Mus musculus: one gene and its partner. The protein of the gene in region 1 interacts with the protein of each later gene in a pairwise test. Links are inferred from orthologs where the notes say so. Each region holds a gene or a part of one and is shown on either strand. Other genes may lie near its edges.

What was found.
Region 2: the proteins of Golga2 (region 1) and Alkbh3 interact in binary tests that used the Homo sapiens proteins (3 or more experiments, as listed by UniProt). The link is inferred for Mus musculus from reciprocal best matches to the Homo sapiens genes GOLGA2 and ALKBH3.

What each region holds. Positions count from the first base shown.
Region 1 is NC_000068.7:32,294,803-32,298,361, reverse strand, and holds part of Golga2 (golgin subfamily A member 2), read right to left. Parts: intron 1,737-3,559; coding exon 1,641-1,736; intron 1,398-1,640; coding exon 1,354-1,397; intron 1,255-1,353; coding exon 1,191-1,254; intron 842-1,190; coding exon 785-841; intron 609-784; coding exon 528-608; intron 1-527. UniProt on the Homo sapiens protein: Peripheral membrane component of the cis-Golgi stack that acts as a membrane skeleton that maintains the structure of the Golgi apparatus, and as a vesicle thether that facilitates vesicle fusion to the Golgi membrane.
Region 2 is NC_000068.7:94,007,883-94,012,093, forward strand, and holds the start of Alkbh3 (alpha-ketoglutarate-dependent dioxygenase alkB homolog 3), read right to left. Parts: upstream 2,849-4,211; 5' UTR 2,801-2,848; intron 2,527-2,800; exon of another isoform or gene 2,381-2,526; intron 711-2,380; 5' UTR 640-710; coding exon 561-639; intron 261-560; coding exon 157-260; intron 1-156. UniProt on the Homo sapiens protein: Dioxygenase that mediates demethylation of DNA and RNA containing 1-methyladenosine (m1A). Repairs alkylated DNA containing 1-methyladenosine (m1A) and 3-methylcytosine (m3C) by oxidative demethylation. Has a strong preference for single-stranded DNA.

The DNA of each region.
Region 1 (3,559 bases):
AACTTGGGACTTGGCAGAGTGTGTCGAATTAAAACTGAGCGTGTCTTGTGGGCACAACCAAGAGATGAATGGGAGAGCACTTGTTTCTGATGAGTCAATGAGCTTTCCAACTCTTGCCTCTTCAGAGTAGACAGAGGTCTCTGACCCACTCCAAATCTGCTAACAGGAAACTCAAACCCAGGGAGTGGTGTGGCCAAAATCAAAGAGCAAATGAGGGGCTAAGCCAATAGGACATGGGGTCCTGACAACCAACTGGGGTTGTGTTCCCCTCTACTGGAGGCACCGAGCTCAGGACAAGTAGGGCGAGGACTCAGGATGAGTCTGCAGTACAGAGTGGAGGCAGAGAGGAGAGCCACAAGATCCATGCTGCATGCTCTATGCTCTGGGTGCCTCCAGCTGAGACTCAAGCCCCAGGTTTTCCATTCCCCTTGGTCCCAGGGGCCCCCTAGTCCCTTTCTTCAGAGCCCAAAGGGGAAACTGAAGCCCAGGACTGGCAGCAAGAATCAGGGACCCCACTGGACTCTTACCAATTCCTCTATCGTGCTACTGAGTTGTTTGTTTGTTACATAGCTGGAGTCCAGGGCTACTGCTAGCTCTTGGTACCGGTTCTGAGGCGCATGCAGAGAGGAGGAGTTGGAGGAGGGATGGGGGGAAAGGTAGAGAGAGCATCATTAGGGGTGGGGGTGGTGGGCTGTCTCAGCTGGCAGCGGGCACCCAGGTCCCTGTAGGAGGAGATAGGCTGTTGGCGTAAAGGGTTGCTGGGCCATGAGTCCAGGCCACTCACCTCCAGTTCCTTCATGTTGGAAGATGTGAGGCCCTCCCCGTTGATGTAGGATGTAGACTAGGAGAGACAATACCTCACATGGAGATGCTCTGTGACCCTCAATGTCTAATCCCTGCAGCCTCCTACTTCCCCCTCAACTAGCAGAATCTCCTTTCCTGCTCACTCACACCCCCTTTGTGCCACTCCTTATGGCTCTTTTCCCGCCATGGCTCAACCTCGCCGCTCAACAGCTGTCACCTCAAACCACACCAGGATAAAAATCACGTTGCCCATTGTGGTCCAAATCCAAGTCTTCTCCAGTATGACAAGAGCCTCTCATGAATTAGTCTCTTGAGAATCCCACCTCATTTTCTAACATACTTTCCTTTCCTCTCTACCTTCTTTCTGGGTCCCAGTCCTGTGGTACCTCAGACACAAGGCCATTGAGCTGTTGAGAAAGTTGTCGCAGACTCTCAGTCGATGAGAAAGTCCTAAGGGAGGAGACATGAGATCAGGGGTGCAGGTAGTTTGATGGGAACAGGGCTCATGGGCAGAGGCTTGCCCCGACTCCCTCAGTAGGGAACACTTACTTGGTCTCCTCCATGAGGTTAGAGCAATTGCCAGCATCATGGCTCTGTATGGGTAGAAAGAAATAAGGTAGCATTATTTAGCTTCTGCTTACTGTCACACAGGGACACAGTAGGCCAAATTCATCTCAACACCCATCATCCCAAATGTTCTCCATCTTGGCCTCCCCATGCCAGGCTCCAGGAGCACACCTGAACCAAGCTATCTGAATAGAGTAGTTTTCAAAAAACTTTGGGAGTCCTTTGGGAAGCAGACAGGAGGGCGACAGACAAAGGGGAGAAGCACAAACCTGAGTGAGGTCAGCATCAGGGGAAGGGGTGACACCAAGAAACATAGTGTCAGTAGCAGCGGTTGGCGGTGCAGGAGCAATATGGTCTGTGGGCACCTGTCACAGAACAGAGCAGAGGGTCAGAAGACCACGGAGGAGAGAGGTGCCTCATTGCCATGGACATGAGGGGACGGGGCAAGCGGGGTAGCACAGCAGCAGGCACAGGACAGTCGCACATGCTGGGAGCTACTGGGGTACAGACATGGCCTGCCCAGGCCTCAGGTCACCTAGTAGCATTCTGAAGGGCCAGAGCTCAAAGCAGGGGCTGCAGGGTCTCCTTCCTGAACACCCAAGGACCTAGTTCCCTCTGGAGCTCTGACCTGTGGCAGCCACAGCAGGTACATGTGCCAAGTCCAGGAGGCAGAGAGCTAACTGCCCCGACTATAGGCCTTGCTTCTGGGACAGACTCAACATCATGGTCAACATAACCATTCTCCCCTCTCTTGCTTTCCTGCCTTCCCTCCTCCCAGACCCACGCACTGGCTGTGTTTGTCAATTCAGAAACAACTGGATAAAGCAGAGAACAATGGCTGCCCTTTGGCTTGAAGTATCTAGGAGATCATGTGAGCTTTCTAGGAAATGTAGGCAGGGACCAATCCTAGGATTTCGGAGATGGCAGCTTGTGGAAGTCCCCCACTGGCCTGGCAGGAACTATGTGCTTGACCAGCTGGCCCAGTTGCTCTTCAGGCTCAGGCCTCACTTGTTTGTTTTATTTTCTGACACAGGGCCTCACTATGTAACCCCTGCTGTCCTGGAACTCACCCTGTAGACCAGGCTGACCTTGAAACAGAGATCTGCCTGCCTCTGCCTCCCAGGTGCTAGGATTAAAGGCATGCACCACTATGCTCAGTAGCTCAGGCTTCACTCTTAGACTATGTCTCTGGCTTAGAGGTCTTCTAATGTCCAACAGTCCAGATAGGCAGAGGATGGGAAGACAAAGGGAGAGGGACAGAGAGTCCAGGCCTGTCCAGCAAGGCTGGTCTGGGAGGAAGTGGCCATGCCTTTCTCCAAAGAAAGGGGCCGTTTGCTTTATGTAGCCTTCAGTCTCAGCCTCTTGGGATGCTGACCAAATTTCCTCCTTTGAGCAAGCGAGAAAGAACCTCTGAGAACTCATTGTGAGCTTCACTCTCTTCAGGGTTACTGTGACCACACCCCTACAACTCATGTGACTGTCAGTTCTGAATCACCCATAGGTGCTGCCTTGACAACATCTACAGTTGAGTCTAACAGGTAAGACCAGGGGCTCAGTGGCAGCTGGCCACGCCTATGACATTCTGGAGGTGTGGCACTCCCAGCAATAGACCCTTCTAGGCTCTGGGTCCCTTGTGGCATCCTAGGAACATTCATCTCTAAGACTGACAATGTTCAGAAAGGCAAAAAATAAATAAAAATGTTTTTCTGAGTACCTTTTGGTTCTCTAGGTGTTGAAACGGGGTCTCTCTAAAATTCATGCTTGCCTCAGAATTGCCACAGAGCCCAGGCTGACCTCAGACTAGAGACCTCCTTTTTGCCTCAGCTTCCCAAAAGCAGGAACCGCAAGGATAGGACACTAAGCACTGCTGGGAGACTCAAATGCTTTTTGGCAACCATGTAACTTTTCGAGTTTAAGTCTTACAGCTAAGCATGGAGTTCTTACAGAGTTTTCACTCTCCTCAAAATGCCCCATCCCATCAGAAAGGACTTTTATCTTCCATAACTTCCTGTTTTATCTCTTCTCAGGAGATATTAATCTCCTTTACTCCTGGAGTAGAAAATCAGTTACTAATTCTAGAAAGTTTTCAAAAACACAAGGAAAGTCTTCACTTCTGGACGGGGGGTGGGGGGTGGGGTGCTCTGGTGAGTATTTCCTGAAGGGGAAACCAGAGCCCGGGCTGTGTGAA
Region 2 (4,211 bases), about 62 Mb from region 1:
CAAGACAACCAAAATATTCCACATTTCATTATTACTAGAATCCTTTGTTCTGCTACTCACAAGTAAATGTATTCAGCCACTATTGGAGAACCTGCTCAGAAACACAGCTTTTATAGGTACACCTTTGTTACTATTGAGGAAGAAACAACCATTTACCAGCTGAGGTTCTTTGAACACAAATTGTCGGTCACATTGCTGCTGTTCCTTGCTCCTCCAGGCTGGCCCCGCGGTCTGGGAAAGACGGCTCCTAGCAGGGGAAGCTGAAATAGGAGAGAACAGTCTCAACAAGAGCCGATAAGAACTGCGTGAAGATGACTTATGACCTCGAGATGTAATAGGCAAGGACAACAAACAGCCTCAATGCACTCTCACCAAATACTACACTGGAGAAACCACGTTCATACCCTTAGTTCACCATCCACAGAGCAGACAAAATGGCAGTCACATTTACAGAACAACTGTTAACAACTCAAGTGGGAGTTCATGATAAACCAAAGCATGTAAATGAAAGAGGATGGCAGCTGTGCACATGCACACACACAGTCTCTGCAGGTTCTTGCCTGGCTGAGTAGCAGACTGGCTCTTGGTAGGTGTAGCCCAGCCTCCCTGCACTCGGGCTCGCTGTCTCTTGTCCTCCATGGTGAAGAAAAAGCGTTCTGTTCTGAGATGTCAGAAGATTTCATTCCCCATTCAGACCAAGGGATGGCTACCTGTTTTCAAAACGAAGCGAGTGTTTTATTAAGGCAGTGCGTGCCTGGCCTAGTAAAGGGTAAGTACGTGCTTTAATGCGGTCAGAAGAGGCGGCTTAACAGCAACAGAGCTGCTCTACTTTACTACATCTCTGTCAAGGGCTGGATCAGGTGGACTACTGGCTATCAAGCCCTTTTACCATAGGCGGTCTAACAGAAAACCATGTTATTAGATTGGTCCCAAGAGCAGACCACATGCATGCAGCTCTAACATTCCCATTGTCCACAGCATGAATATGGAAAACTCGGCCAAGACCAGGCTCCCCAGTGCAGTGCTCCTTACCACCGGCTGTACGGAGCTTCCCTGGAAGCCTTAAAAGCAGCCATGACAGAGAAACCTGAAGGACTTCGGCCACATGAAGTAGAGAAGCACAGAGACATAAACGCTACGTGACCTTACACACAGCAACTTAAGAAAGCTGAACCCTAAGAGTAGAATGTGATTGCTTATGACTAGGGAAGGGGGCTAGGTGGGGGCAAGGACACTGTGGATCCAAAGTACAAAGTTTCACTTGGATAACAATAAGCTTTACTGACCTCCTGCACAGAACAAGGGCCATAAATACCAAATCACTGCTGGGAATGGTGGCACATGCCTTTAATCCCAGCACTTGGGAGGCAGAGGCAGGCGAATTTCTGAGTTCGAGGCCAGCCTGGTCTACAGCAGGACAGCCAGGGCTACACAGAGAAACTGTCTCGAAAAAAAAAAAAAAAAAAAAAAAAAAACAAACAAAAAACCAAATCACTGGATAGCTCAGTTATGAAGAGTAGATTTTAAATATTTCCATCACAAAAAGGTATACGAGGTAAGAGATGTATTAATTTGATGCATTCATTCTATATCAAAAGCATATATCAAAATGTCACAGAATACCATAAATAAGAACAATGATTTGTCAACTTTAAAATTAAGTTTGAAATGAAAATCTAAAATATCCATGTACCACTTTTAAAACTACAATTTAGGAAAGACTCTATTTCTATGTTTATAACAAGCAGCAAAGGGTAAGATATGCTAATATGTATAGAGATCAGAAGGTTTAGTGACTTACAGAGACACTCAGGAAATCAATACTGATGAAAAGTTCAACTCTTGTCAGGTTCCAGCCTTGAGCTAATCAAACCCCCTATAATTTTGCCCAAAGGTTACCCTATAGCAAATACAGAATTCTTAAGGGTCAGGTCACATGTTCGGAACCTGCGAGCCACTTCTTTATGAGTCTAGGAAAGCTTCTAGCTCTCAAAGACAGTCCACTCATATGACTGCTTACACCACAGGTTCCCAGGCCTCGTCTCCTAGACCTTCCGATCCAACAGAGCTCAGGGCTCTGCTTAAATCTCCTTAGGACGTAGAAATGATGGTTTACAGGCACATACCAGTAATCCCAGCATCCAGGAGGCCTGAGCTAAATACTGAGACCCCGTCTCATCACCGACAACCCATCAAGTGCTTATCATTTACCAGGTAGGGCCTTGGAGAAGATGTCGATTCCCTCAAAAAGTTAATGACACAATCAAATCCAACTCTCCGGGCTTACCGAATGTGTGAAGGAAACCCTCGTGTATCATATTCTCGGAGACCTAAAGGCATAAGACTAGTGGGGGTCAGTGAAGGCCTCTGACCTGCTCACCTTGACGTGACTTGTTTAAGGCAAGTGGTGAACAGAAATTCCAGAGTGCTGTCTGAGACTTCCTGAGTGCTGTCAGTTCGAGGAGTCCCAGAACTTAATAGGTCCTAACAAAGGTCCCGCCACCCTGGAACTCCAAGCCTGAAAACCTTAAAAAGAACAAGGGCTCTGGCAGGTGCAGGAACTTGCTTGGAATGCACAGATCTATCCCGTCCCGCCAGCAAACCCCGTGGCAGCGGACGCCACCGTCTGACCTCAGGCCTCTCCCTCAAGCAGGAGACAGTCCCGCCCTCGAGGCTGAGGTACAGAGAAATGGCTAACAGCCTTCTGATGGCCCAGAAACGGACCCTCGGGCAGTCCTCACACGCCTGCCCCCGGCTCGCGGCCAGCAAGCCAGGAAGGAGCTGGGCGCCCCGGACCAACCTGGCTGGGCCCTGAGCAGAGGTCCCGACACGACCCTAATCAGCCGTCTGGACGCCGGGGAACCTTCAGAGTGAGGCACCAACTCCTGCAACGTCCAACCACAGGCCTCCGTTGCGCGTAGTTCCTCTTAGGTGACATACTGCCACCGCTTCCGCTTCCGGTGGGTAGCCCGGAGTCCGGGTTGCCCCGCATCCCTGGCAACTAAAGGGCCGGGTGGAGACGCTGAAGGGAATATGGTCGGAATGGGAACTGGAGTCAGGGGCACATGTGGGGATGAAGATGAGCCTCCTAGGCCTAGGTCCTCAGGAAACTAGTTCCCGAAACCAGTGCTGGCATCTTAGGTCTGTTGTGCAAAGGGCAACCGCACTCTCCCGGAACTTGTACTGATCCGGGAGTAGGGAGGACTGGGACATGCTGGGTTCTGCTATAGAATTCTCTCCTTACCTTGAAAACCATGAAGAGTCTAAGGTGCGCTTTGTTCTCAACGTAGCGCGCCCGTCTTTTCTACACAGCATTTACGCTGGGACGTGAGAGCATGCCTTATTTATCTGAGTTCCTCAGTGCTAAGGAAACTTTACTTGAGTCCACAGATCTGTCTAAATTTCATTCCAATGCCACCATTTGGGGCAAGTGCATTGCTTACTTTTTAAGTGGTCCTGTTAAGTGGGATTAAATGAGACAGCAGCGTCTGGACCACTATAGAAATCTAATAATTCACGATAGCTAAAGTGCCTTCTCACGCATCTGACCTCTTCACAAGCTTCTTTAAAGAGATCAGGTTAAGCCATGTCTCTTATAATTTGACAACTCTGACTGTAGCACCAAGTCAACTATTTTCTGTCAAATATTATTCTCTAAAATTTACCAAAACACAATCATTGTGGAGATCTTTCAAATAAGCCTGATTCTGTCAGGGTATCGGTAAAGGCTCCTTAAGAAAAATCCCCACTCGTCAAAAGAATAGAATCACCTGGCCAAAGAATGACCCCTAGGAAGGTAGGCTTACCTGAAGTAACACTAAAGAGATAAGTGGACTTATTAGTACTTTAATGAGACACTGTACTTCCTTTCTCCGATTCCCACCCTCTATCTCCGTCACTTAAGGAACATGGCCACGCCGGTTCCAAGCCTTCCTGCTTTTCTAAATTACCTAGAGAAACAACAACAAAAACTAAAAACAGCAGCAACAACAAAAACCATAGCTTACCTTTCTTGCTGTCCCTCCTGTAAGCATGCTTCTTTTAGGACTTCAGACTTTTGCCAGCATTTGATGTCCCCTTACTCTTTCTCTGATGCTTCCCTCTCTTACATGACAACGGCTGCCTTCCACTCAGTGACTGACCTCCATGCCCACTTAACACGGAATCCCCACCCCCTATTCTCTTCCTTGGGGCGGCTGTCTACAGTTTAC